Lytechinus pictus: one gene and its partners. The protein of the gene in region 3 interacts with the protein of the main gene of each other region in a pairwise test. Links are inferred from orthologs where the notes say so. Each region holds a gene or a part of one and is shown on either strand. Other genes may lie near its edges.

Region 1 (10,679 bases), on a different chromosome or scaffold from region 3:
GGAAAATATCTGAAGTGCATAATGGAAGCAAAACAAGAGCTCACTGAACTGGGAATAATGTGATAAGCTTCAGAAGAGTTATAAACTGAATGTCAAACGTTTGCACCATAATCCGCAAAATTACACTTGTTACTTCTTAATGTGATATTTTCACTTCTAGCGGTCTTCATTCACTTCTGACTTGACAGACCAATTTAATTTCAAAATGGATGTTAGTCATTAAGTGTAGGATGCTCAAAATATGCCTGCTTCTATCACAATAGATTAATTTGAAATTCTACTTGCATCATAGATCAATTCAAATTAATTTGTTTATTACTTTGTCATCCTAAATGTTTTCCTGTAAATCATATGTAAAACTTTTAATAAATCTATATATGACATAAATAAGTATCCACAATTGCTACCCACCTGTATTTTCTCCAATGTTTCCTTTAACTTTAACCCAAATCAAGAGTTTGGGTTCAGTAGGTTGATCAAATGACATGCTAAAGAAGTTTTCTCTGTCTACTCTCTTGGTTTCAAATGTGATTTCTTGAGCAAGCTGTTTCTGAGCCCATTTCCGCAGCCTCTCAGGAATATCTGGATTCCTATTAAAATAAAAACAATGGAAAATTTGTATATGTGGTAATAGATTATTAAAAGGCTGATATTCATTTACATTCAAATTATTACAATCTTTGAAGATATTTCAGGGCAGGCAGGCTTGAATATGTTTTCTTTTGTGTAATATAGTACATGTATATTTAGGCATAGATAATTTTTTTTATAGTAGATATGTCAGAAAAATGGAAGTTGAGAGTCTTTAGACGCAGTGAATAGCATGTGACAAACATGTGATAAATACCAATAGAAATATTGCGTGATGAAAGCATGAAAGTGCTAATCAATTCAATTTGAAATAACATAGCTTCATCATCATACAAATATAAATTATAATTCGAAAAATTCTGCTGGTTGTCATCAACTTCCCCATCAACCTTAAGACCTTCATGATTCAATAACAAACAGAAAAATATGTCTTTTTTTTATATTTATTTCTTATTTGATGATTTGAAGCTCATCAAAAAGGGGGAATTTGGAAAACTTGAATTCTAATCAAGTAACTATCCACCATTAATATCTCTCCAGAATGAAACTATGTGTATGCGCATAGAGTGATCTAAAGAGATGATGCAAAAGAGTGAAGGATCTAAAGAAAAACTTACTGTACAAACTGTTTGAGTTCCTCAATATCTGTTGTCATGGTATCAGGATCGGGTACATCAGGCATGGTGTACTGATGATGAAACGGAGAATCCTCGAACCTATGATAAGATGCCATCATTGTGAGAATGATACGACCGTTCTGAATGGCTTCTACCGAGCGTGTGCAGAAGCTGTGTCCATCACGCTGGTTCTCCACCCGATAAAGAACGGGTAAGGTTGAATCTCCTGAGATATTATGAGAAAAAAAAAACAAGATGACCTAACCTTTTCATGACCGAATTTTCTAATTTCTACAGAGACCCGGCAGTTTACTGTCAGATGTTTTTCATATTTATTACAAACTAACTGGGACAGACTCAAAGTCAGCCTCCAAACCAAATTTAAAGGTAAAGTCCACCCCAGAAAAATGTTGATTTGAAAAAAAAGAAAAATCAAAATAGCTTAACGCCGAAAATTTCATAAAAATCGGATGTAAAATAAGAAAGTTATGTCATTTTAAAGTTTCGCTTATTTTTCACAAAACAGTGACATGCATAACTCAGTGACATGCAAATGAGACAGTCAATGTCCCTCACTCACTATTTCTTTTTTTTTGTTTTTTTTATTGTTTGAATTACCGGTATACAATATTTCAGTTTTTACAGATTTGACAATAAGGACCAACTTGACTGAACCACATAGTATTAAACAATCCTAATTCCACATGTTCAGGGAGGAATTAATCATTGTTTCACTTGACAATGAGAAGAAAATTAGAATATTTCATATTTCATATAATACAAAAAAGAAATAGTTGAGTGAATGATGTCATCAGTCTCCTCGTTTGCACACCGACCAGGATGTGCATATTAAACTGTTTTGTGAAATTAAGCAAAACTTTAAAATGCCATAACTTTCTTATTTTACATCCGATTTTGATGAATATTTCAGTGTTATGCTTGTTGGATTTTCCTCTTTTTATTCAAATTATGTTTTTGTTGGGGTGGACTTGTTTGGCTTTAACCAGTCTTAGCCTTAGCCAGGTGGCAAGTGATGTGTACAAAGGCTGTGGGGGAAAGTTTTATCTAGTGGCCTCATGAACTCCCAGCCTCGACTCCAATCCTGACAATTAAACTTTAAGGAAATTATCAAATCACCACTACATTGTAGGCCTACCTATGAACAGATGATAATCAATCAATTTAGTTTTAATAGATTTTCATGATATATAGGCCTACTTTGATGAGCATAATATTGGAGAAGTCACAAAGAATGAGATGGAACACTCAGGTTAAACCAATTAATATTTCATCAATTCTTGTTTGTAGCTTTCTTGATTCACCCACTCCAATCAGGAAGAAATTACATTTTTAACAAACTGCTCTAGATGTTATGGGTACATTATATATATATATATATATATATATCTTAAGCTCTCAACCCTGTTTAGAGCACAATATAAAATGAATTAGTCATTGCACAGTAATTACCTGCTTTGACAAAATAAGAATGAAGCGAATGAATAGATAGTTCAGGGTTCACTGTCCTCCCAGCAGCTACCATTGCTTGTCCAATGATCTGACCACCAAACAGTCTCTTCCCTGGTCCATAAGCATGCCACATGTTTTTGGCTCTATCATTTAGAAGAGAAAGTCATTTTGATTTTGGGGGAAACAGTTTAATGTTAAAGTATATCATGGTCACAAAGAATTTCAATACAGTCAAAAGAAAAAAATTGAAACTGAAGAATAGGCCTACTATACATGTGGGGATTTTTATCTCTAACTGGCTTTATCCATTGCATCCCATTCAAACCACTCTAGGCGACACCCCAATACTTACCCGTGCTAATAAACTGGGACTCCACTCACGCGCGTTTGGGCCTCCCTAGCTTAGAACTAAGCACTAATATCACCTTAAAAACTAAATCTACAAGGTATGTATAATCGTTTTACAACTTTAATAATGTTTAATCGGTACTCACCGGTTCTTTTGTTGCATTTTCAGACCATTTCTCACAATTCTTCGTAAATATTTGCGGCAAATTTTGTCGCCATAGACAGCTTAGCATCCATCTTTATTGATAAATGGAGCGCCCTTTACGATAGTTGTTAATGCCGCGGAGAAATCGTTAGGCATTTTGGCCTGTGTTCAAGGCGTTCTTTCTGTTTTATTTTTTATATTGAAGATTGTGCATTTGTTGAATAGCGCCGTCTACGTCAGGTATGAGATCGAGTGTATAAATACACTCTTCCAAAATAATTATGATTCCGACCTGGCGCTGTTTAACTTCAATCTCTTTCACCTAAATTAGCGATGAATGCTAGCATTATAAAATATATATTATTAACGTCTGACGAAAAGAATAACCAACCGATCAGCTGACGAGAACGCGAATCACGTGATCTTCATATCAGCTTCGATCGCGAGTCAGAAGAGAAGAGCAGCTGCCCAGAAAATCAGGAAAAAGCCGTGAAAATGTAAGTTCCCCTTCATTTCTTTCATTTTTTGTTGTTGCTAACGATGCATTTACACTATAAAATTATAATTTAAATAAGAGAAAGGAATATAGCTTGTACTTGTGATATAATATATAAATATCCTGTTCTCAGAGATTTCTAACCAAAAATACTACTGATGTCGCCTATGAGGTCCATACATGTAATGTTGGACCTCATTGGTACTAGGAGTGATTCAAACCTCTGGATAAAGTAATAGTTTATTCCATTTCATATTGTATTTTGAGGAATAACTTATCAAGCTTCCCAACAGATATTTATAATACCAAGATCTTTGCACAGTGATTGACCTTTCAGAAATAAATATTAACATGGTACTGGTAGAAACTATAAAGAAGATTAATCACCAGTTGCTAAATTTGGTTCAAAACAGGAGCAGAATTTTGTTTTTAAAAAATTATATCTTATATCACTAAAATGGCAATATGTCTTTGCCTTTGGAGCATGAATGAAATGCTCATTCAATTGGTTTATACAACTAATCATTTCTAAGAAAATGAAATCTTCATCATTATCATTATTACAACTATAGGTCTCCTCTTCTTCTTCATCATCAATTAATCATCATCATCAGACATCAATCATCATCATCATCATCATCAGACATCATCTTCTTCTTCTTCTTCTTCCTGTAAAGTACAGACTGCCGTTGGCATATTATCGTATCATCATAAATCATCATCATCATTTCAATCCGATCATCAGTGACTGACTTGCATAGCTGTTTCATTCAAATTTCAACTGAGTCATACTTGAAAAAACGCAACAACAATTACAATGTATGGGACCTTCAATTACCTGAACAGATATGGGTCCAAAGTCTCCAAATCGAGAACGGTGCTGACGAGAACACTCCTTAAATCATTCTCAGATTGATCATCTGTTGTTGTTGATGAAGCAGCCATTCTACTAGAAACAGTTACCGGCAGTAAGTTTGGCTTGTTCACAATCTTATCGCTTTGTGAAAAGCTTGAGAAATGAGTTAGTAACCGTCTCACGTTTCTCAACATTTTGATTGACACCGGCTGATATGATTACGCAATCTCTATCCCGGAACGGAAAACAACAAGCGCTCGCTAGCGAGATTCGACGGGTGTCCGGAATCAAAACATTGAATCGTACAAATTAACCCTTTTCGCTCGAAGGCTGATTAGACTACTGCTTTTACTAGCATCCCTCGGTAATTTTGAACTTCAATTTTCTTGATATTGTGAATGTGAGGTACATGCATTGTATAGGCTCTGCATCTCAACTCATGTATGATTTCGATTGAACAGGTGTCGGTACGGTATGCGCAGCTAATGGGTATTACCTGGGATTTGGATCCTGTGCAATTTAAGTTAGTATATCACGGATTTGTGAGATCTACGCTATACGTGTGTGCATAAGTAATTGCACATGCCAATAACAGTAATGGCCTCCTAGGTGTAGTGGTAAGACCCTACTCAAGACAAGAGGCGGTTTGAATGCGAATGTGCACTTGATCTAAGCCTATCATTTGACCTAGGCTATGATGAGATGTGGAGTGAGATGGGTGAATTTAGAATTAGGCAGATGATAATGAAAGTGGGCATAATGATGCAGGATAAGGTGATATGAATGATAACGATGATGACGTAGATGATGATGATTAATGAGGATGATGATGATGCAGGAGAAGAACTTGAAGAAGGAGAGGAGAAAGAGGAATAGAACAAGAATGTTTAATGTATTGTATTTTTGTCTATAGGTGTATCCTGCCACAAGCCTAGCCTCAGCTTTTACAAGTTACTTTTAGGGTATACGCCTTCTTCTTCAAATAATATAGGGTATGTATATTGCGCACATATCCACCTTGTTAGGTGCTCAAGGCGCTCCTATATTACCCGGCTAAGCTAGGCGTTCATAGCGCACACAGCTTTTTAAGGAATTACTTCCTACCGGTACCCATTTACCTCACCTGGGTTGAGTGCAGCACATTAAACCCAACATGTACATATTTACATTTTTCATAACAATTTGATTTTTGTATGAATTGATGTTTACGAAAAATGTAATGAAATGGAAGAAAGTAGATGTTTATTTGAATTGAATTGAAAAAATAACAATGAAAAAAAAAACATTGATATTGATGATGATAACAATAATGGTGATGATGATAATCTACAGTTCTTCATACTATAGACAGGAATAACCATCGTTTCTGGGGATTTATTCGACAATTTCTGACATTTTACTGTCATTCCCATTCACTAACAGTAAACCTGAGCCCCATTGATAAAACCTTCCACCAATTTGGTGGAAAAAATTCATCTAGATTTTTAGAATTTTACTAGGTCTATTAATGGAACAATAGTTTAAACAATGGCCCACATTTTTGCTTAGTTTACACGCTTTCTTGTGATGTTACTGAATATTTGATCAAATACTGAAAAAATATATGTATAATGTTACCGGTATTTTGTTTCTTAGTTTTTAAACTTATTCTCTGGAGATGAAAAACTGGCAGCCCAGTGTGTTGTTTGTAATAGTAAGGCTTTTATCAAGGCTTTCCAATTAGTATCCATGGGGATTATAGTAAAATGTCAGAAATTGTTAAATAAATCCCCAGAAACAACGGTTATTCCTGTCTATTCATACTATCGCTCATCACCGCCCCGCACCAAGTACATGTGTAGTCAAAGTTCTATGATACCTAGTACTTTGAAATGATGATTCGATAGCTTGGACTTCTTAAAGGCATTCAGATAATATCAATGATATAGACTTAGAATCTATTTATATGAAGAAATTTTAATTTCATTTTGTTACAAATTTGTTATCCTTTATTTCACTTCATTTTCAAAATGCTGCTGTTTTCAAAGGATTTGCATGCATTTTTGTCTCTTGCTTTTGTTAAAAAAAACTGACAGAGTGAACTCCTCCTTTAAATATAATTCCCCTGTTGGGTTTTAGCCCTTGACCTTGCAGGTATTTTTCTCTGTTTCAAGTGTGTTAGATACATGCATAAAGTGGTACCCATATATCCAGCAAGTAACCTTGTTAAATATCTACCCGTGTGATCACTGGCGGATCCAGGGGGAGGGGGGAGCAGTCGGCCCGTCCCCCCCCCCCCTTTTGAGAGGCACAATTTAAATTTGTAATGTAAAAATGCCATTAAAAAAGAAGTATGCCCCCCCCCTTTGAAAGTGAAAACCTTTTTTTTTCTTGCTTGTCAAATTTTATTGTGGATGAAATCCCCTTAATTTTAGGTTGAAACCCTTTTTTCCCCTTTTTTTGCTTGTCAAATTTTTCCTTGGGATATTGTATGCCCCTTCCTTTAAACAAATCCTGGATCCACCCCTGTGTGTAATATAAAGAAGGGTGCTTGATATGAGTAACAAGACACTACTTACATGTACACAAGGCATGATGAACCAAACAAAATTGGTGTATACTGAATAGTCTACCATTCACAGAATCACCGGCAGTTTGTTAGAGATCTACATACGTATCTTCATGGAGTGATCTTGTAAGAGTACTCGGTAGTGTTATATAAGCATTTTGTTATTATTATTATCATGTTTCTTCTTGGCCCTGTCTTACAAAGAGTTACGATTGATCTGATCAACCGCAACTATGGAAAGCCAGCAACGTCAACATCTAAAATTACGTATTTGTTCAAAATATTTTCGAGAAATATCATTCATACATTCAGTTTTTTTGACAATTCAGTATGCTTCTCTTTGTTTACAAAGGACATTGTGCAAATTTCCTAAAGAAAAAATGATGACATTGATGGATTTCCATAAACTTTAAGAGATTGATCGGATCAATCGTAACTCTTTGTAAGATGGGGCCCTGATGTTAATCTGCTGTGCAATCTTTACAATATTGTTTCTTCTTTCCATTTGACTTGGCCACAGGGGGGTCAAAATATTTAAAGATGGGACAGTCTGAGAGTGCTGAGAAGTCCAGGAGTTCACAGGAAACTGGGATGAGAGCGGAATACCAGACTTATCGATCTCTCTTCTCACCTGAAGAACAGGAAGAACTGCAAACTGTTTTTGAGAGAATATGTCGGAGCAACCCACAGCAAACTGATGGGCAGGGTCAAGCAACTTTCTCCAAAGAACAGTTCATGGTAAAACAAATACCTTATTCATTGACATCAGCACTACAATTATAACTAACAAGAATTAATTTTGGATGAAAAATGAAGTAAAATTAATCAAAAGGTGGAATATAAATCACGATAGTATAGACCTAGTTCTTGGGGTTTATTGCTGGGAAAGGTAGATGCTATCAAAAGAATGTGAATGAGAGGAAAAATTTATGAATTTTTGTAGACCTTTTTTTTTTTGGTGTATGCTTCAAATTTTTTTAATTAATGAGTCAGAATAATTTAACAGATTTAAAAAAAAAAATTGATTTTATCATAAAGCATATCCAAGTAATCAATTGTATAAAAATAAAGGTTGATGGTTTTTGAAATATTGTTTGCTTTTTAACACTTTCAAATTTAATTGCGTTTTAACGGTGACTTGTTTTCTTCACTAGAGTTGTTTAGGTGAGATCCTATCTGAGTCGACAACTGAGCGTCTATACAATGAGATGCTTCAAGTCCAAGGGGTCATCTCCTCAATAAAATCCATCTCTCAAGAAGCTTTCGTGATCGCCCTCGCCAAGCTACTTAAGGGAACTATGGAAGAAACAAGTCTGATGGTGTGCAGACTAGCTGCCAACATGGCTGACAGGATAACAAAAGAACATCTCTCAAAGGTCAGTAAATATTACATTATTTGTTTTGACCTTAGGTCATTGAATTTTGCTTTTTATGGATTTTTATGATTACCAAAGTCCGGATGTGTTTTATATTTTGATTATGTTTGGGACTGATTCCCTTTCTTATATATTTGAGTGATTTGCATTGTCCATTTTCACCAATTTTTTTTATTGTACCTGTAATATATGATTTATAGTGTGTTGCGAGTTTTGTTACAGTTTTTCTTATTCTTGTCACTTTTATAATCAAATATAGTCTTGCCCTTGTCAGAATATTGTTTCCAGTAATGTCTTGCAATCTCAGATTTCTACACGTGACGTGTATGGATCTCTATGTCAACATAATTTTCATCAAATTTCCTTTACATCTTACCTATTTGATCATATGGCAAGTATATTCCCAATATAATCACTATTTGAAAATGATCTTATTTGCAAAGTGATATGCACAGTATCCAAAACTTGTGCCTCTTCAAATTTTACTCCTCAATGCCTCCTAGATTGCTGATCCAGCCGGTATTGTATAGGCCGGATTACGGTAATCAACAAACTTTGTACATACAGTTCCAATTCAATACAACAAGTTATCTTTACCTGTATTTCTACTTGCCATGATCACCTTGCTGTTATTGTCAGTGCTCCTACTCTTAGGAATAACCATTCCTTAATATCTCTTGAATCTTTCAAAACTGTTCAGAGAGCACATCTTACTATGCATGTATCACATTCTTGTTTTCAGTTTCCTTGTTTTTTCTTTTCCTTTAACCTAATTTTATCTGTCTTATAATTGTTTGTTAGAGCACTTTGCAAGTTATTTATTTCTAAATTAATACATTTTTTTCTGTCACAAAATGCACACCCTGATGATGATCTTTTAATTTCATTATTTTTTTTGTTTTATTTATTTATTTATTTATTTTTTTTTTTGGGCGGGGGCATCCATGGTTACATTCTGAAGCTTTTCGTTGAGGTAGACAATAAAGGAAAACTTTGTAGGCTTGATCTTTGTAGGTTTGCATGGTAGAATTTATGACGTGGAGAGGGTTTACGGTTCACCATGTTTAATATGAAGAAGGAAAAGGAAATACAGGCAGAAATATTGAGATGGAAAGACGAGAAAGGATGAAAAGAGGAATTTAGAGGAATTCTTTTCTTGAAAGTGAGTGAAGTTCTGAAAAGGACTGTAAACCAGATGAGATGAGCTGAATATGGCTTGAGTAGTGATGGTTTCTAGGCTGGGAAAGACAGTGCATGCCTATGATTCTGTGAAAACATAAAGGAGACCAAAAAATGCAATTAAAAAGATCTGATGATCGGAGATATGAATTTCATATTAAAGGGGTACTCCAGGCTGAAAATGATATGATTTGAAAAGATAAAGAAAAATCAGACAAACAAAATATTAAAAATTTGATCAAAATCGGACAAGGAATAACAAAACTATGGCTTTTTACATATTTGCATGATTCCAGTGAAACAGTTCTATGTCTTCATGACTATGCAATGAGCAAGCTGATGATGTCATATCCTCAATTGTTCTTTTGTATTTTATTATATGAAATTAGGTTTATTCAAATTTTTTCTTCCAAGAACTAAAAAAATTGGATTGGCAACTGACTTTAGTGCATTGGATATTCATTGCTGCAACCTATTTCATTTTAAGGGAGACAAATCATTTACACACGTATGAAAAATTAAACAACTATGATTTCATGTAATAACTTAAAAGGGAAAGTGGGGATGTGACATCATCAGCCAAACTAAAGAATATTCATGACGGCGTGCATAAAACTGTTTTTACAAAATATTGAACTTTGAAATTCAATAAATTTGTCATTTATTATCAGATTTTGATGAAATTTTTATCACTTTGCTCCTGAATTTTACTCTTATCTATATAGGATATAATCATATAAATATTTTCAGCCTGGAGTACCCCTTTAAGTAGATGATTGTTGTCCTTCATGTATATTCTGTTTATAGTTGCATATTTAAAAATATATATATATAATGACTTTATCACAAATTGCAGTATCTTCTTATTTAGAATGGGTTGAAATTTTTAATGGTTAATTTGATTAATGAAGAAGAAAATAAAAGATGTTTATTGATATCAGAATGATTAAAACCTGTTCTAAATAGAATATTTTGTATGTAATTTTCTTATTTTATTTCAGTTCATCACAGATATCTTATCATCCTATGAGAAAGCATTGAAGGCAGCGGATA
Region 2 (10,651 bases), on a different chromosome or scaffold from region 3:
AAGGATATTCTACCATTTTGGTTTATAATAACCTACTAGTACTATGGCTGAGAATAAACTTCAATTTTCTTTGAAAATTAGCAAACACCCCCCCCCCCCCAAAAAAAAACATTCAATGACGTTGATGCTAACAAAGCTGGTCATATGAAAGCTTACATTTAAACTGATGACGCCAGCTATGAGATTCATGTAGCTTTAAATATCACAGCAATTCCTCTGGAATAAGTTTTCTAATAGAGTAATAACATTTTGATTTTTAGTAAAGAATTTTCGCTATGCGTATACTATGTATATCATTCTTTTTTTTAATCTTGTGAAATGCTATGTGTGAGATGGCTTAAACATCTTCAAATACGGTAACCCTAATCCTAAGATTAATTTAGATGATATCCAAACCAATGAAGCTAAGTACGAGATAGCTTACATATCTTATACGAATAACCCTAATCCTAAGATTAATGTAGATTATATCCAAGCCCATGAAGCTAAGTGTGAGATAGATTAAACATCTTTTACAAATAACCCTAATCCTAAGATTAATGTAGATGATATCCAAACCAATGAAGTTAAGTGTGAGATAGCTTACATATCTTTTACAAATAACCCTAATCCTAGGATTAATATAGACGATATCCAAACCAATGAAGCTAAGTGTGAGATAGCCTAAACATCTTTAATCAATAACCTTAATACTAAGATTAATGTAGATGATATCCAAACCAATGAAGGCTTCCTAATTAAAGCCTAGACTGAAATAAAAAAAATACTGTTCCATTCTCAAATATTACATGCACATGAAATGACAAATTCCATTCATATTAGACACTTCCTTCTGTGACAATTAAATTAAGGAACAATATTGAACTTTGACACCCTCATACAGAGCAAAATCTTTTTAAAATTTCTGCAGATGCTCTATGAAAACGCTTTAAGATTTTATTAAAAAGCTTACCTCCAAAATGCTCTGTTCATTGCATTACGTTTTTCTGGTCTGTTCACCTCAACCTTGTATATGAACTCTTGCGGATTAGTCACAGCAAGTGACTCAAAATTATATTTTGACAGCCCTTCGGAAGACATGCTTCTAGCGAGTGTTCTTCTAAGGCCGATCTTGGCTGAAATGATAATAAAGGAAACAATTTTCAAATGAAGTTTTCAATAACAAAAAATACAGTCAAGTCTACATAAAATTATTAGCACAAAGTATGAAGGTGAGTTCTATTACCAAAATAGAAACAGGGAATTCTTATACAAATACAATCATATACAGTGCATCTAAAAAAACCATACACTTTTGAAATGGCTGCCATACAAAAAATATATCACTTGTGGGCAAAATTTCTAAATATATGGAAAGCAAATAGAGTAAACTTTCATTTTCATACAACACCAAAATCCAAAAAGTTTGAAAACTATTCATGCATGAGTGAGCAATTCCCACTTAAAGGTCAAGTTTACCCCAGAAAAAGGATGATTTGAATAAATAGAGAAAAATCCAACGAGCAAAACGTTAAAAATTTCATCAAAATCGGATGTAAAATAAGTTGACATTTTAAAGTTTCGCTTATTTTTCACAATATAGTTATATGCACATCTCAGTGACATGTAAATGAGACAGTCAATGATGTCCATCACTCACTATTTCTTTTGTTTTTATTGTTTGAATTATACAATATTTCATTTTTTTACAGATTTGACAATAAGGACCAACTTGACTGAACCATAAGTATTAAAACAATGCTAATTCCACATGTTCAGGGAGGAATTAATCTTTGTTTCACTTGACAATGAGAAAATTAGAATAGTTTGTATTTCATGTAATGAAATACAAAAGAAATAGTGAGTGGATGACTTCATCAGCCTCCTCATTTGCATACTGACCAGGATGTACACATAACTGTTTTGTGAAATTAAGCAAAACTTTAAAATGTCATAACTTTCTTATTTTACATCCGATTTTGATGACATTTTCAGTGTTATGCTTGTTGGAATTTTCTCTTTTTATTCAAATCAACTAATGGTTGGGGTGGACTTGTCCTTTAAATAAAGGGTATGATAATTAGGCTGGGCAGGAATTAGCCTTCCTATTTCTTTCAGTTTTTGAGAGGCGATCCTTTGGAACTTGCAAAGTTGAGGGTTTGTGATGAATTAATGATCAATCGTGACCAGTTTGTTGTTTGAGAAAATTTCAAGAGCTATTATATTGAAATTTAATGCATGACTCCATGATTGAACTTGAATTGTACTTTTTTAGTGCAGCATTTTTACTTTTTCAGGTGGATCTCTGCAGTTTGTCCATGAGAGTCAGGAGAAAAAGGGTGAGATAGGACTTAAGAAGGTGTAGTAGGTTGATAGGATACAGGTCACCATAACATTTAGCCACCCCTCCCTTCCTCTCTTACCCCCCCCCCCCCCCCCCCTCCACTTCAACCCCCCTGAGAGACTAAGATTGACTAGGCTGGGTGGGAATTAACCTTCCAATTTTTTAGGTTAGTCCTTGGAACTTGAAAAGTTAAGGGTGTCATGCTAAATTAATGATCAATTGAGATAAGTTTTGGTTTTTTAAGCAAATTTCATGAGTTACTAAATTGAAATTTAATGCATGAGTGAACAGGAATCGTAATTATAGTGTACCATTTTAAAGGAGAATGAAACCCTTGAAACCAGCTGAATCCATATCAAAGAGAAAAATCAAAGAAACATATTGTTGAAAGTTTGAGGAAGATTGAATGAATAATAAGAAAGTTATGAGCATTTGAATATTGAGATCACTAATGCCATGTAGAACCTCCCATTGGCAATGCGACCAAGATCTGTGATGTCACACACGTACAACTCCCTCATTACTTTAGTAGTATTTCACTTATATTCTCACTTTTATAGAGTCTATCACAAGGTGAGGTGTTCTCTATATGAGAGGACAAGTACAGAGGTTTCACAAAATTATATCATTGATGAAACGTTTGTCATATGATTAGAATGAGCAAAAAGAGATGTTTTGGGGTATATTTTCAGTGTCCAAAAGGGGAGAGTTGTTCATCTGTGACATCAAAGATCTTGGTCACATTGCCAATGAGAGGATCTCCATAGCATTAGTGATCTCGACATTCAAATGCTCATAACTCTTCTATTGCTAGTCCTATTTTACTCAAACTTTTGTTGATCTTATTCTTTGATTTTTCTGCTTTCACAAAAGCTAACTTGCTCCAAGAGTTTCATTCTCCTTTAACTTTCTCTTGTGGACCTCAGCAGTGTGTTTATGAGAGTTAGAGTAATGTGATGGTACCTGTTGCAAGTAAAGGGATGAGAAAGGGTAATACATGGTTAAAAAGGGCATTACTCTTCTTTGTGTTCTTTTACAAATTACAAGTCATGTACCACCATCTCCATCCCCTCTCTCTCTCTCTCTCTTCCTGGATGGTATTCAAAACTTAACTGCCAAGTGACTGTTGTTGATGGGTAATTTTTTTTTTTCATTGAATGATTACTAAGAAATTTACAGATTATGATGATTTATGAAATAATTTATTAAAAAAGGTGAATGTTTGATCACATTGGCATTTGATTTACTAATAAATTGTTGATTAAATGATTGATAGGTAAAAGTTGATGCCCTAATTTTCAGAATTTATTATTAAATTGACAGTCTGCTCTGGACTTTATGGCTTATTATGCGAACATGTAAATAATGTAATAGCAATCAGTCTCAATCTCAACAGGAAGGGGGGAGGGGGTGGCTAAATGTTCTGTTGACCCTTGTCCAATCAACCTATTTCACCCACTATCTCACCCCTAACCATGCATGCTAACCCCCTATTCTCCTGCGTGACTCCCATGAACCCCATTCTGATTCTGAGAACCATATTACATATATTGATAAGTTAAAATGCGTTAATCATGTTAATGCTGCGCTAAAAACTGCAATTCATGTTCACTCGTACTCATGCATTAAATATTTTCTCAAACAACCAAAAATGATCACGACTGACCATTACTTTATCACAACACATAACACCAAAACCAGATTTCAACACCGTACTAAATTAGCTAGTAAGAGCAGCTACATGTAGCCTCGAAATGTGCCGCCGGTACAAGCCGGGGGAGCACCGGTCTGCGTGCTCGCTAGATCCAGTTCATGAGTTGGGTCGATCTTACACTCGTATTTTGAATTGATGTTGAACCCCCCACCCGAATGCTAACACTTAAAATAATCTCACAGATTAATGCCATTTTCTTTCCTTGAAATTTTCAATTAATCTTACTCAAGTTCCCTTTCCTGGCTGTTGACAGGATGACTTTGGTGAGAGAATTCATGATGATCTCGTGCCGTCCACGGGCGCGGGCGTGGTATAAAAAAGGCGTACCGCTGTGGCTAGCTCGATCACAAAATTTTCCGGTACCGGTACCGGGCCCGGTATCCGTGTATCATATCGATAGCTAGCTGACGTCGACGTGTCTTGCTATGCTCGGCTAGCTACCGGTACCGACAAGGCCAGGCGACACAGTCAACATCACTCTAACTGTAACTGTAACTGTAAGATCTAGATCTACTGTAAAATCTGGAAATTGGTAATGTCCAATACGTATAAATATTTATGTAGGCCTCATTTTTTCTTGCATAGTTATAACGTTAAACATTTCGTTTTCAGATTCCAATTCCACCGAGCTGAGAGTGAGACTGAGATCGAGAGAAGGCTGAACTGCTGAAGCATGAAGGCAGCTGAACAGTCAACATGAACAACAGTCCCACGAGCTTACTTTAGTGCGGTTTCATGATATCAGCTTTCGTTTATAAACTTAGCTTTACTCTTTAGTTTATATTATAGTCGCGCCAGTCAATCTTTCAGTTTCTTATTATTATTACCGGATGTACTGGAAAAATGCAGAAAGCTGCAGCCAAGTTTCCAGGTCTAGCTTTCGTCCAAGCTTAATCTTCTTCCACAACTTAATCAGTTTAATTTATATTTTTCCTCAAGAAATCAGACAAGATACATAAAATACTTTATAGACAGTGAATAAACAACTATAAATATGATGGTGTGCCCTTGCCCCGGGGACCTCGACACGTCTTTCACAGTACACTGTGTTCGGGCTGCCGCAGTAAGGTGGGCCCCAAGTCTGCGCACCTAACAGTAACAATTTGAGTTGAGATTTAACATGAATTTCTTCTTATTTCACAAAATCTTTCAGTTAAAATAATAAAAACTTAAAATAATGTTCCTTATCATGCTTATATTATTGAGAGTAAGTGTACCAAATTTCTCATTAAAAAATGAAAGAAAATATAGGATTTTCTTGAAAAAACCTCTGGCAGTCATTTTCAGATTGAAAAAAAAATGATACTCCATGTCTGCGCACTCATTCACTTTGCACACGATTCTGGGATTTTGATGAGAAAGGCTGCATTTTGAGGCCGTCACATGAAATGCCCTGAATTTATTATTTTTCCACCATTTTGAGTCGGATTTTTCAATGAATACCTGTCTATGTATTGCATGTTTAAAGTCTCGTTGCGTATCTTCTTTTACTAGAATCGCGCAGACAAGGGGGACTGCGCAGACTTGGGGGAACTTGCCATAATTGTTCATCAAACAAAGGATATGACATGAATGAGGAGGAAAAATGGCCGAAAAGGCTTGGCTTGTGTCTGTTGTGATACTAGGCTAGACAGCTGGCAGCCGTCTGTTTCGAGGAGTTTTTTAACATTTTTAATTTTTTTTTAATTTCTCCTTGTACACAGACGGCTTGCTATCGTGCAGCCACCGTTAGGGGGTTAACAATGCAAGGAGAGAGAGAGCTAGAGAGCCAGAAATAAGTTTAAGTTATATTTAGATTATGAACTTGACAATTAAAATGTTTTGTAGACTATTTCCTTCTAAAAACAGATACCGAAGAGCTTAAATCTAATTGAATATGGGAAGGGATTGAATTAGAATTTTGAATTCCAATAATTGGTCCTTGATAATATATGCCATTTTTAAAGAGAGAAGTATTGCACTGTGGGATATGAATATTTCAAGCATTTTCAGTGGAATGAGTATGTACAGATGTGTTTGATAAAAAATAATTTTTGAGGGAATTCGGCAAGATATTTTATAATATAAGAAAAAATTAAAACTGCAATATTCATTTTGTTCAAATACATTATATTTAGAATTTTCAAAGATTTTAAACAATGGTCCAGAATGACACAGATATGAGGAGTGAGTAATAATTAATTCTCATTGTCCTTTTTTGTAAAAGAAATATGTTAATATGTGTTTATTACCCCAGACTATATTGCAGAAGTTCAAATAAGGTAAAATCAGTGTATTATATAATAAAAGATGAATCATCTTCGGTAACGTGCAGTTTATATGACAGTGATGTTTTGGCAACTTTGCCGCAGATGACACCAGCATGCTCATTCCATGTTAACCTATTATCAAGATTGACATTAACACCTAAAAGGTAGTAAATGCTACTTCATTAATTGGCATCTCATTTAAATAAACATCAACTTTGAGTAATGATCTATTTTTATTTGTGAAAACCATAAAAAAAAAACATTTTCGAGCATTTAAAGTTAATTTATTTACAGTAAGCCAGTTTGATGTATATTTCAATTCATTATTAAAGAACATTTTGTAAAGTTTCAACATTTTTATGGGACATGAACAAGCTGGAGTTATCTGCATACAAAATAGAATCCAGAGCATTAGAAATGCATGGTAGCGGCGATGTAGAGGCTGTGAAAAAAACATGTGCGTGTCTTGCTTGATTCATATCGGGCTAGCTCTAGGCACGCTTCTGTGAAATGGGAGCATGTCATCATATTACATATTATAAAATAATTTTTAAAAGCACCTTTAGAAGCTTTTAGAAATTGGTTATCAATAGGAAGTAGAGAAAATTTCTGTTATTTTGATACTTTGAAAATTTCTATAGATTCCAAAATATTTGTGTACAAACTGTATTTTTTTATGTTGATGAAAAAAATTAAAATTTTGGATAAAAATGGCATAATAATGTACTCATAACATATACACACTAAATTACACTATAGATGTCCTACAGTATGTTGTGTGTGTTACTTTGGGAAGAACTAATATTGTAAAAACAACAATTCCAATGATGAGAGTAATTGATAGTATAGAGTGACAACTTTTCATAAAATCATATATTTCAATAAATGAAGATCAACTAGTTTTTATTTCTCTCAATTAGTGTTAGACAGGTGATTGAACTTTTATATTATTTGTATAATGGAGAAGTCCTTATAATGAACAAGATTCTATAAAATGAGGATCCTGCAGTTCCCCATCATGATGATCATGTTAACATTTTTAGAATTTAATTTTCAATGAATATCAAGTCTCAACTTATTGAAATAAATAACTTCCTGTGTGTATTTCCTTTGTCCATAGAAATCAAGTGAAAATGGCTGCTTTCAGACAACCCAATAATACTAGGCCAAGTTGTGTCAGTGCTGCCATCTTAATAAGCCTCTTCATATGCCTTGCTAGTGTTCATATAGCAAATGCAAAAGAAGAAGATGAAGCTTCTACTGAAGGCTGGATGGACTATTGGTTTATCAGATTGGCGCTAAATGTTCTTGGCTACCTGTCAGTGATTGTTCCTGCTTGGCTGGTGATTCGCTATGTCAGAAGCTCTGGATACTTGGAAAAGGGAGGTGAGGATCCCTCAGGTACAAGTAGTGGCATATAAAAAGACAAAGGCATTTCTGCCTTTTTATGCCCACTACTCCTAGGAAAAAAAAGTAATTTTGCACCCTCTCCCCCTCCCCCTTTTCAAAATCACAACCTTTTCCTTGTCAAAAATATTTTTAAGAAGTCAGCCTACATGTTTGGGCAACAAAATTTTGGGATTGAATAAAGCTATCTAAATAATCTTATTTTTAAAAGATTTCTTTAGTTACAAACTCATGTATATGCCCTTTAGAATGATTTTTTTTTTAATTTTTACCAACAATATTAGAAGAACTGTAAGGAGTCTGAAAACTTCTCATTTACAGGGAGTAAAGCTGGCTGTGTTGTACCAGTACATATGGAAAGGAAGTTAGGGCAGCACAGAAACAGACATTTAACTTATATTGTACCAGCACTATCAGAGCTCTACATGTATGTAATAATTAGAACTAGATGAAACTCTATATAGTACCGAGTTGATTTATTTGATAAGAAGATACAGGTACTACTTTAAGAAAAATGAAGACTTCACGGTAAAAAGACAATTGTTTTGGCTTTGGGTTTATTAAGTTAATACAGGTAGTAGCTCTTTGAGGTGCTTTTGGAGAAAAATGTTAGAGGAATAAAATGTTAGATTCAACGTTGATAACAATATCACATCAGATTCAGTTATCCGCATAATGTCATTTGTTGTGAAGTTGACATCTAGGCAATGATTTACATGTACATGTAATTTATGTAATAATATATTTTGGAGCATATGACGTGAAATACTTGAAATAAAATGTCAAAGTTATAATAAGTTTGGTTTATGATATACCATATTCTTATGCAAAGCAAATTAGCTTGAAACAAAAAGCTGGCTTACTACTCTGAATCTGTAACCGGAGCTAGTAACATGTGTCATGACATTGCCCTTTTTGGGTATTCAACCCTGCGCTTTTATCTGCATTTTTATCTGCCTGAATAACCTGAAATGAGAGGGAGCTAAAGGGCTGCAGGTAATGATAATGATATCAGTAGCTCTACTTTATTTGTCCATGTATGCGAAGTACAAATTATGAACTTTGATAATGTAATGGTGTTTGTGATGGTGATGATGATGGTGGTGGTGATGATGATCATCATCATCATCCCAGCAACAATGATGTTAATGATGAATTGACATAAATGCAATAATTGGTAGCTATTGTTTTTCATGCTGAAGAATTCCTAGGAGAGTAGTATTTCTTTGGGATATTTTCCTCTTTCTTCTGAGTCTATGTCCTAATCAGTTACAGTAGGTCTCTTTAAACCTCTTATTTTCTGAAATATGTATTTTGTGTAGGTCATGGCTGTTGGTACAATACTGTCAAATCATGTGTAACTGGGTCAGACGAAATCAAAGCAAGCTTAGAGGAAGGAGGTAGCAAGGCTACAGTGACTGAGAAACCAAAGGTAATATTATATGTACATAAAAAGTTTAGCTCCAAAAGGAACTACATCCATATTTATTACTTCACAGAAAAACATTGTTGACCATTTTCATCAAAAGGGAATGAAGTACCTTTTGAAACTAAACTTCCTACCACATGAAATGCAAGCGAAAGACAAAAGTTTTTCTTCAGACTACATTTTCAACATTCCTTGTATGTGACCATAATGCACTAATGTCACTATTTTGGTCTACTTAACTGTTTTGTATTTGTTGCATGACAGTTTGGTTCATGAAAGAGTTCATATATTGACCTGATAAAGTTTACTGATGATATTGGTTTATTTCTTGCGCTTTCTGTTTAGATAGGAATTTGATTCCGGTAAGGTAAATGATTGATTTCCAGCAATTGCTGCCAGACCTATAATTTAATGGTTTAGTTTTAAAAAAATGCAGGTGAGATAGATTTACAGCTATCGAGAGGAGTGCTGTCAGAAATATTTCATGGTTAAGATGCAGATATTAAGCGACTGTTAAAAGCCAGTACTTTAGATTATTAAAAGACTACTTTAATGGTAAACGATCAGAGGACCAATGACCATACACTTTCTGATGGATCAGAGAGCAGAAAGAGTTGCAATCAGTCACAACTTTAAAAATCAAACATTTTTATTTTCAACCAATAAATTAGAAGCATGTATTTAGGACTAGCAATTGATTAGTAAGTAAGTATTCAGTTGCTACTCTAATTGCTATTGGCCCCCGGTAATGAGGACATTTAACTTACCAAAGGGCAATAGGACTAGGCCTAAATAGTACATCAAATTTTATTTAAGCCCAGGTTACCAGATTTCAAGACTATTGCCCTTCATATGAATATATATCTTGCCCCTCAACCTACACAATATTGTCAATGCTACTCTAACTTTTGAGGAATATGAATTTGAAATGAATACTGTAAATGATATTAATCATTGGATGGATGGACGGCCGGACGGACACTTTTTATTGCTTTTTGAAAATGAAAATTTTAGTATTCTGACTATAGTAATGTGTAATACTCTATTCATTTCCAGATGAACCGTAGTTTTGTGCTGCTGTTTTGCGTAGCTGGCCTGCAAGGGTCATACCTTACATGGGGAGTCCTTCAAGAACGTATAATGGCACATGAATATGGCAAAGATGCACATAATCCAGGAGAAACGTTCACCAACTCCCAATTCCTAGTGTTCATGAACCGCATTCTCGCTTTCATGGCTGCTCTGGTTTTCATGAACTTCACTGCTCAACCTCGTCACACTGCACCCCTCTACAAGTACTCCTACTGCTCTTTGTCCAATATCATGAGTAGCTGGTGCCAGTATGAGGCTCTCAAGTTTGTCACCTTTCCCACCCAAGTCCTGGCCAAAGCTTCCAAGATCATTCCTGTGATGCTGATGGGGAAGGTCATATCTGGGAAAACATACGAGTACTACGAGTACATCACAGCTGTGATGATCTCTCTTGGTGTGGCACTGTTCTTGTTGTCCCAGGGAGGGGATCACAAAGG
Region 3 (9,858 bases):
ATTATTTTTTTCTGCTATTTTTTACAATAAACTTTATGCCAGGGTGAATTTCCCCTTTAATAAATTAAGTGCAATACTTAATTGGCAGGGGCGGCAATCCTTGGGGCCGGGGGCACAGCCGCCCCCCCCCCGCACACACTTTTTGCGCAAGAAAAATGCCCCTCACGAACTTGTGCCCCTTTAACCTGAGGAAGAGGTGTTATGGAGTGCCATTTCTCGTATCAGTGCCAATTTTTATAAACAAAATGCCTCCTCACAAACGTGTTTTGTGCCCCTTTGAGAATGACCAGTTATAATTATGTCGTATGAGAATGACCCGTTATGTCGTTAGCAAGTACCCCATTTGCCTTCTTATAGGTGCCTTTCTTGTATCAGTGCCCCTTTTTACCCATGAAAAGTGCCCACCGCGTACAGTTTCTATGCCCCTTTCACCTGAGGACCCGTTTTAAGTGTGAGAAAGTGCCCCTTGCTCTCTTGTAAAGTTGTAAGTGCCCTTTTCTAATCAGTGCCCCTCTTTACCCAGAAAATGCCCCTCCCTAATGTGTTCTGTGCCCCTTTCATACCTGAGGACCCATTTTATGCCGTTAGCAAGTGCCCTGTTGCCTTCTTATTGGTGCCCTTTCTCGTATCAGTGCCCCTTTTTACCCAAGAAAAGTGCCGCTTATGAACGTGTTCTGTGTCCCTTTTGCCTGAGAAGGGCCAGTTTCATGGTAAACGAGTGCCCCTATGAAATAAGAAAACAATATTCTCATTTCCATATGTTATTTGAAGAATAACACTAGTAAGGATAATCCTACGTGCCTTAAATTTCATGAGTCATGTGAGTGGGGGTAGATAAGCAGTAGCGCACAAATGGAAGTGGGCTTGGGACTTTGCCCCCCCCCCTTATTATGTCAAAATCTATCACAAAATTGGATTGTTATAAAAATGTAAAGAGAAAAATTTCTTGCTCGTTTCGCTCGCTCGCAACTTATAGATACTATGTGATGCGACATATCTAGCCCCCTCAAAATTTTCGGCTCATTGCGCCACTGTAGATAAGTCATTGTCCCCCTTTGTTTTGAGATAGTGCCCTTTCGAAAGAAAAGGTGCCCTTTTTCATTATGCCCCCCCCCCCACACTTTCAACTTCGCTCTGCCGCCCCTGAATATACTTGGGATCTAAAGTGTGATTCAAACCAGGTAGAGCGAGCCGACGTGAGAAATCCGTAAGTCCAGGGGGAAAATACGATACAAATTACAAAAATAACGCTTTCCATAATATTATAATTTCAAATCTCTTTTAAGTACCTTTCTTATCTAAGCTATATACATGTGGGGTATTCACTTTTACATTTATATTGCATGGGGGTTTAAGACCGGCCATTGTTTCCTCTGCCATTTATACCTCTACCATTACTACTCCTGCTATTTTTACCTCTGCCAGTTTTACACCGAACCGACATATTTGCATTTTATTTGATTTATTCTATAGTATATGAAATATACCGTATATATATATATATTTAATGTTTAATGTTTAATGTCACATCAATATAATTACTTATAAAATTTGCAATGAATTTGTCTGAATTGAGTGATTGGGTCATTACATATTTGGTAGGTAGACTTTGGTTAGATAGTTTAGATAAATTAGATCCAATTCCAAAAAGATATGATTAATTGCCTTTCCAAAAGATGTGAACATGGGCCCGTAACACAAAACTTAGCAATGATCGTAGAACATTTTCTACGATTAATTCCATTGACTACAATGTACAATCAATTGTAAAAATTGAGTGTACGATTAATCGCTAACCTTTGTGTTACGGGACCCAGGATTCGAACCTCGAACAGTCGACTGCACTTCCCCACAGTCATACCTGGGATTAAGGCACATGCCACATCATAAAGTTACTAACGTTTTAAAACAAAAGAAAATAGCTTTTTCATCATTGGGACAAATATTCACAGATTTATGACATGCAAAGCGTTCCCGGATGGTTTGCACGTACAGATGCTTATCTTTATTTCCTACCTTTAACATGCACTTGTCACCCTTTTACTTGTTAGATCTTTCTCCTTTTTATCCAGATCGGTTTTTTTTGGGGGGGATGCTGGTCCTTTCTTTTAGAATGATACAAAAGTTTTAATTGGTTCGTGTGTTATGCTACAGTCACACAGATGAAACGGAATCCTGATCGATAAACGTTATTACTATTGGTCGGTTTGGAGTCGGTTTTATTGGTGTGATTGTAGCGTTAAAAAGCTCACACGACCGACATGATAATCGTTGAATCACTGCAACAACAATAATAATTACACGAGGGAGGAGAATTATAGGAGTTCATCAAGGTTTATCACTCAACGGTGTTATTCAGCAGTAAATCAGTTTTGTGGACTGTTTGTTTGTGAAGATGTTTTTCGAAAAATGGGTCAGCCGGATTCTGACGATCTAGAGAGATGGATAGGTCTGGAAAGGGAGAGTAAGAAAGAGGTTGCAGGAGAGTGCCCTGGGAAAGATTTTTTTGGCTGGGGGTGCTGAAGTAAGCCTAAATTCAGGGGCGGATCCAGCTTTTGCCAATAGGGGGAGGCATTAGCGTACCTAAGGGGGGGGGGCGGCAGACTGCCCCCCTGACGAGTCACAACACTTGCAAGGAACGTATCCCTGCCCCCCTGATGAGTTAGTCCCTGACTGGTGCTAAATAAATGTCCTTTACTTGTGGTTGAAGACCTTTTTTTTTTGCTTGTCAATTTTTTTTCTGGTGCGAAATGTCCTTTACTTGCGGGTGAAGACTTTTTTTTTTTGCTTGTCAAATTTTTTGGCGGACGAATTTGCCCCCCCCCCCTTTGGAAAATCCTAGGTACGCCACTGGGGGAGGGCTAAAAAAATCACCCATATTTTCCTCGATCTGCCGCTCAAAATCGACTTTTGTTTGTTTCTTTGAAGTGGTATTCGTAACAGTCACTTCTTATAAAACAATTTGTTTTGGGGAAATTTAATGTATTTTGTCCTGAAAATTGAACATTCTTGGAAATTTTTGTAATCCCGAACAAGATGCGTATGTAACTGATCGAAAAAATGACCTGTTAAGGACTGTTTGTAGTTAGCCATAAAGACAATACATATTTCAACTGTGAAATAAAGCGAGTGCGAAGCGCGAGCTGAAAATCTTTGACATTTCGACCTAAAAAATGAACATTCTAAGCAGTTTTTGTAATCATGAACAGGATAGGTATATAACTAAACAATGCGAGCGGAAAAAGTTTAGACCTTCAAACGGGTCACTCTATTCATGATGTTTTGTAAATCATGAAAAGGATGGGTAATTGGGTATCATACACTAATAATGTGAGCAGAAGTTTTTTGATAAGGTCTATTCTAACATGAAACTGGATAATTCAAGCATGTTTTAAATAAAGAACAAGCTGCGTATCTCAATAAACATGCGTGCGTGTGTTTAAGATTTATACCTAGTATCTGGGCATTCTAAATATATTTTTTATCATCAAAATCAATAATGCGAGCGCGAAGCGCGAAGCGCGAGCTGAAAATATTTGATATTCCGATCTGAAAATGGTCTTTAAGCACTAATTCAAGCACAGTAAGAAAACTGTGAAGTGGATAATTATGGATCGCACTAAATAAATGATGCGAGCGCTGAGCGTAAGCTATATTTTCATTATCATTTTGACCTAGGACCGGAACATTCTGAGGACATATTGTCATCATATGAAAATGATGACTGTCTTCCCTTTTCTCTACCTTAGCGCAAGATATTCCATTCTGAAAGAAGGACAATTTGATTATTAGGAATTCATGAAATTTTTTATTTTGTTTATTAATCTAATAAGCCTAATGACAGCTCGATATTTGTTGATATTAAGGCCTAAAAACTGGACATTTCAAGCACTTTTTAATTATGAATAGGGTGCATGTAGAGCAGGGGCGTCGATCCATTTTTCAGATTGGGGTGGCAAAATCATGACTCAACTTTTCAAAGGCGCTCGATCACACAAAACAAACAAACTCACCTACACACAAACACACACACATAGGCATGTATATATATATACATATATATATATATATATGTTTATATATATATATATACATACATATATATGACTCGTGAGAAAGAGACACATATCTCACCAACAAATTAATGCGAGCGCGAAGCGCGAGCTGAATTTTTTTAGTATACTGAACTGAAAACAGGAAAAAGGTACCCGTTTAGGATTGTTTGTAGTAAATCATGAGGAGGATCTTACTACACAGATAATGCGCGTGCCGAGAGCGAGCTGAATTTTTTTTTATATTCTGACCTGAAAGCTTGATATTCTAAGCATTTTGGTACGATTAAGATTGGTGTCTCAAATAACAATAGATACGAGCGCGAAACGCAAGCTGAAAAATTTGATATTTCGATCTGAAAAAATTGACAGTTTAATGGACGTTTTTGATAAAAAAAACAAGATATATATACCCAACAAAAGATTATTGCAAATCGAAGCGGGGGTTCTTTTGAGGTTTAGAACTGAAAACGGGACATTCTGTTCACCTATTTAATCATGAAAAGTATGGGTTTTTGCTACAGAAATGATGCGAGCGCGAAGCGCGAGCTGAAAAGCAGACATTTTGAGCACGATTTTAAATAAGGAACGAGTTGTGTATTTCAATCTTGCTTGCTGATTTCTGTGTAACATTACACTCTTATTTTATTTTTGCACATGAGGAATTATTGGGGGGGGGGGGCAAAACAATATATGTTTGCCCCCCAATATTTTCATTGGTGGGGCGATCGCCCCCCTACCCCCCCCCCCCCCAGGATCGACGCCTCTGAAGTAGAGTTATACATTACTTACCAATCAAAATGTGAGCGCGCAACGCTGGCTGATAGGTTTTGACAATCAAACCTGAAAATATATTTTTGAGAACTTTATGGAAAACACGAAGAGATAAGGTACTTTACAAATCAAATAATGCAAGCGCTGCGCGTGAGCTCAAAATGTTGATACATATGGTAGATACTGAAAATCAAACAAAATAATGAAAGCTCAATGTCGGAGCTGAAATACTTCAAAACTTGATATTTTAAGCTCCATATCAGCCTATCAGCAAGAATGTTATTATTTCATCAAACATCATGCAGTGCGATCGAGAGATCGAAAATTTTATAGTGCCTGATTATTTTATATTTATGTTGTTTTATAATAAAGAAGTGGACTGCACCTGCAAAAAAAAATCAATTTCGAGCGGCTGATCGGAAAATATTGGGTGAAAATAATTTCGGGCCTAATCCCCTACTGGCGCGAAAACTGGATCTGCCCCTGTGGTTGTCGCCATCCCAGCCCCCCCCCCCCCTCATTAAAAAGCAATGTCCCCCCAGGAAAAAAAAAGCTAGCTACGCCACTGTATATTATGGGCCACGCATCGGGATAAATATTCTAGACAGGGCCCTGATCGGCCCTGAACCCTTCGGGCCGCAGCGACGTACACCCCTTCTCGATCTATTTTTGTTTTATTTTTAAAACAATTAGTGCACACCGAGTTACCAATATTGCATATACGGTAGCATTTCCATTTATTTGAAAGCAGGATAAAAGAGCATTGTATATTAAATGCCTTGCTCACGGGCATAGGTGCCGCGGCCGGGGATCGAACCCCGGACTTTCCATGTACAGCCAGGCTCCTTAGACCACTCGGCCACGGCCACGGCACCTCCCTTCTCGATCTACAATGTATGGCCGCGGCGCCCGATCCGATCCGGATCCGACATCCATTCGGCAATTGCGTAACGGAGACTTGGATTAACTTTTGATGAAACTCAGAGGACAGCCTTCGGCTTCGTCACATTATTCCTATCATTTATCGGTAAGCAATCCGTAGCTTTTTTTTAACGTGGATTAACAATTTCGAGGTTTTTGACGTCGACTTTTTTGTCTGACCGACCTGGCTTGATCATGTTGATCATTGATGCAAGACGGATTTTTGCGTATTATGGCGTAGCCGTAGAATCTTCAATCTAGGCCTATCTATGTAGCTGCACTATTGTCCCACACGAATATATCGGTGTCTGTAATGTAAGTTAGTTGTGTGAGTGGTATGGTGATGTGAGTGTGACCTAATTCGCGCGTAACCTAATTTTGCGCACGGTCAAATATCTCATTATCTAATTAGTATCTTGAAAAACTGATATCACCAACAGAAAGAGCGACCCAAAATTACTTAGTATGGTAATTTTTTTTAAGGTAAGGTCTCAAATTGTGAAAATATTGGCAAAACATCAGCAAATTTTGTTTATTGTTACCTTTTGCGTCCGTTCCGAGAAAATCTGATATTCTCGACAAGCATCAAGAAATCGCCAGTTTGCAAGCAGAGGTCTCCAAATAAGTAAGTAAAATGTGATACCAACCGAATTTATGGCATTTTAACCTCCATCTGATATAATTTAATTATCTTATCTTTGTCTGCTTTATTTCTTTTCTAAAGCTTTGCAAAACGATCGTGTGCAAATTAAGGTCACACCTTTTTATGACACTTTTCAGCCGAGCGCGCACTAGTCGATCGCCATGGAATTTTGAGAACACTATATGAGCGAAACCATGGACTTACATTATAATTCCGTCAAGTGAATTTGACTTTGGGATCATGCCTTCCATTTGGTATTTGGATTTGGATTAATTTTGTGTGACAGTGTGAGAAATTTTTGATTGAAAATCAAATGATAATTGTTAAAATGTGCGCAAATTATGGTCACCCCATCATACCTGGTAGTGGTATGTAGGTAGCCTAGGGCCTGGAGGCTTCTGGAGAGTAAAAAAGTATCAACTGTACGTAGGCTACCTCGAGCGAAGTTCGTGCAGGCTCCACTTCACTACCGCTACACTACGGTCTACGCTTCACCTACCCGAACTTCGAGACCGTGAACTCGATCTGATATTCCGAGTGACAAAGGTGGGATTTTATGGGGGGAAATATAAAATTCATGCAACATCACGATCTTTAAAAACAAATAAAACTAATATTCGTACTTTACACAAAGTTTCACTTCTTTTCCATGCTTCTATCAGTCTCAAAATTGGTGATTTAGAGCCAACATGAAGTTCCTCACACGTATAAATAATTTGCTGCCGATTTCAAAACCTGAACTTTTTAGAATCAAAATCTATTATTTTGAATGGATTTTTATATAATTTTAGAAAAAAAAATTGCCATATCCCCTTTCATTTTCTTTCTATTCTTCATTTTCTTGTTTGTGGAGCTTTTTTTTTTTGGGGGGGGGCGGACCTCAAAATCCTCCATCTATACACCAGTGATGAATAGTAATTCATTGTACTTTCCTCCACAGTAAGAAACTCATCTGTCAACATGGCAATGAGAGATCTTGTTGACGGGGAATGTGGTACGGCCAACCCCTTGATGCGTTTAACGTCTCACTTCACCCAAGACAAGTCTCTGCATCAGGAGGGTCTCCAGCATCTCCCAGGGCCAGGTGGGTTTGTGCAGGAGGCAAGACCCTTCCTTGAAGCTCCTGACCAAGAGGTAAGTGGCTATTCACACCTGGGTCCCAGGGGGAAAAAATACACAGGCAGGGGGTGATTTTGCCCTGAAATGCTCAAAAAGCACCCTGGAAATTCCCCATTTATTGCAATGTTAAAGCTTATTAGCCAATGTTACAGATTTAGGGGATAAGTTGTGAAAAGTAGCCCCAGAAAATAAAGATTTAATTATTTTGCTGGCACTGGATCATGTTCCATAAATACTTTTTGTAATAATGAAAACTAATATCAGCCAATCAAATTGAATGATTTTGGTTGTTCCGAAATTTATAACAACTTTATGAAACGGCCGTGGACTTAAAAAGCAGTGCATGCTGATGTATTTATACAGTACAATACCATTATCTACATGTATTTTATGTCAACCTTCCTAGGTATTAAAATTGATAGGTATAAGTTGTATTTTTTAATTTTGAGTGCACACATGTGCATTGAAATGGTTTTGCAAATTGTATTTCTAAAAATTATTTCATAGCCCTCACCTGTTTTACATGTACATCCACTGTGGATGAACTTTGTCTAACCTTTCCTCTATTTTGCATAAGGGCTTTAAAGAAGTGTGAAAAAAGGAGAGAGAAAAAAACATCGACTACAACCCCCCCCCCCCCCCTCCAGAAAACCAATGCTAATGGTCCTTCTGTCAAACACTAATTCTAATATAAAATCTTCATATTTGATGTTCAGTTGGTCAATGAGTTCCTGTCTGATCAGCATCGCCATGCCGGTCCACCTCAGACGTTCCGTATGGATGCCCTTCTTCAAGAAATGCAGGAGATTGAAGGCTTGCATCACCGCCAAGCCCTAGCCCAAGGTATGAATGGGTGACCTGATAGTTGATCATGCAAGACTTTTCTTGTCTGAATGATCCATTTTGTTGATACATGTAGTTCTAATCTGGGCATAAGGTTCATTTGAACAATGAATTGAAAATTAAGAAAATATGTCCTGTCTGAATGAATCATGTCATATACCCTTTTTACACACGCTAAAATTTCCTTAACCCCGTACTATAGGTGGGGCTAAATTGCCATTTAGCCCCACCTATAGTACGGGGTTAAGCTTAGCCCACTTTCTTTTTACACAGCATTTTTGCAAAGTGGGCTAACCCCACCTTTAGTACGGGATTATTTGGCCCTGCAAAAAAGCAGGGTTATCCCAGCAATTGCGGTGCTAAGAGCGATAGTACGGGGTTAAGATCGCTAGTGTAAAACGAAAGTGGGCTAAGCTTAACCCCGTACTATAGGTGGGGCTAAATGGCAATTTGGCCCCACCTATAGTACGGGGTTAAGGAAATTGTAGCGTGTGTAAAATGGTACGAGTGAAGTACTTGTACTACGAATGATCGACAAAAACCACTAGTCCGGGGTTAGCGAGTTTCGTGTGTGAAAAGCAAGCATTCCTTATCCGGGGTTAGCAATAACAATTTGGCATGTGTAAAAAGGAAAAAAAATAGTACGGGGTTAAGGATAGTACGGGGTTAGCGATAGTCCGGGGTTAAGAAAATCCTGTGTAAAAAGGGTAATAGATATAATCTGAGTATGTGCAGATCAGGGTTACATTTATTTAACAATAACTTGAAAATAAGAAAACTTGTCCTGTCTGAATGGCCAGTTCATAGATGACATCTGAGCATGTGGAAATATGGGTCATTTTAAGACTAACTTGAATATAAGGAAAACTTATCCTGTCTGAATGAGCCAGTTTATGGATAAAATCTGAGCCTTTGTAGAAACAAAGTTTGAACAAAGTTCTTGAAAATAAAGACAATTGTCTCCTGTCTGAATGACATGTTTAATCTGAGCATGCGTAGATATATACTATATTTAATAGAGATAGTTTAAACAAAACATGAAAATAAAGAAAATTCTCTCTTACAATGTAGCTCGTAAATATAGTCTGAGTATTTGTGTGAATAAGTCACCTCGCGTACTTTACTGAGCGTGTGCAGATATGGTCAGAGGTCACAGAGATGATTACATATATATAATATTGGGTGTGTATATAGTATATCCTTGATGTAGATTTTGACAGCGAGCATTTGAGAATAAATCTAGATTAAAAGCTTCAATTGCAAGAAATACAAATATTAGAGATTAAATGCCTTTATTGCAAGAAAGGGAATAAGAAGTACGGAAAGGAATGAAAATAGGAGATCAATAACAAGTCGAATAAAGAATACAAGTACAATTAACATGTATGCATATGTTTCTGTATGGTGAAAACAGAAAAAAAAAATTATTGGGACAGGTCAAGAAAAAAAAAATCTATCTCATTTTCATCTCAGCCCCAGGGGTAGCAGACCTTGCCTCCAGGGCAG

Evidence for each region.
Region 1: the proteins of peroxisomal targeting signal 1 receptor-like (region 3) and acyl-coenzyme A thioesterase 8-like interact in binary tests that used the Homo sapiens proteins (3 or more experiments, as listed by UniProt). The link is inferred for Lytechinus pictus from reciprocal best matches to the Homo sapiens genes PEX5 and ACOT8.
Region 2: the proteins of peroxisomal targeting signal 1 receptor-like (region 3) and delta(3,5)-Delta(2,4)-dienoyl-CoA isomerase, mitochondrial-like interact in a two-hybrid assay, tested with the Homo sapiens proteins (2 studies listed by BioGRID and IntAct, with this or other methods). The link is inferred for Lytechinus pictus from reciprocal best matches to the Homo sapiens genes PEX5 and ECH1.

What each region holds. Positions count from the first base shown.
Region 1 is NC_087246.1:25,012,877-25,023,555, forward strand, and holds the start of acyl-coenzyme A thioesterase 8-like, read right to left. Parts: upstream 5,000-10,679; 5' UTR 4,718-4,999; coding exon 4,506-4,717; exon of another isoform or gene 4,504-4,505; intron 2,822-4,503; coding exon 2,679-2,821; intron 1,435-2,678; coding exon 1,209-1,434; intron 591-1,208; coding exon 412-590; intron 1-411. Other genes in the region: MTOR-associated protein MEAK7-like, read left to right, coding at 7,612-7,809, 8,226-8,447, 10,628-10,679. UniProt on the Homo sapiens protein: Catalyzes the hydrolysis of acyl-CoAs into free fatty acids and coenzyme A (CoASH), regulating their respective intracellular levels. Displays no strong substrate specificity with respect to the carboxylic acid moiety of Acyl-CoAs.
Region 2 is NC_087251.1:23,742,405-23,753,055, forward strand, and holds the start of delta(3,5)-Delta(2,4)-dienoyl-CoA isomerase, mitochondrial-like, read right to left. Parts: upstream 4,713-10,651; 5' UTR 4,315-4,712; coding exon 4,263-4,314; intron 1,116-4,262; coding exon 953-1,115; intron 1-952. Other genes in the region: adenosine 3'-phospho 5'-phosphosulfate transporter 1-like, read left to right, coding at 7,420-7,687, 9,016-9,125, 10,179-10,651. UniProt on the Homo sapiens protein: Isomerization of 3-trans,5-cis-dienoyl-CoA to 2-trans,4-trans-dienoyl-CoA.
Region 3 is NC_087258.1:5,594,451-5,604,308, reverse strand, and holds the start of peroxisomal targeting signal 1 receptor-like, read left to right. Parts: upstream 1-5,760; 5' UTR 5,761-5,853; intron 5,854-6,069; exon of another isoform or gene 6,070-6,372; intron 6,373-7,330; 5' UTR 7,331-7,350; coding exon 7,351-7,524; intron 7,525-8,225; coding exon 8,226-8,352; intron 8,353-9,825; coding exon 9,826-9,858.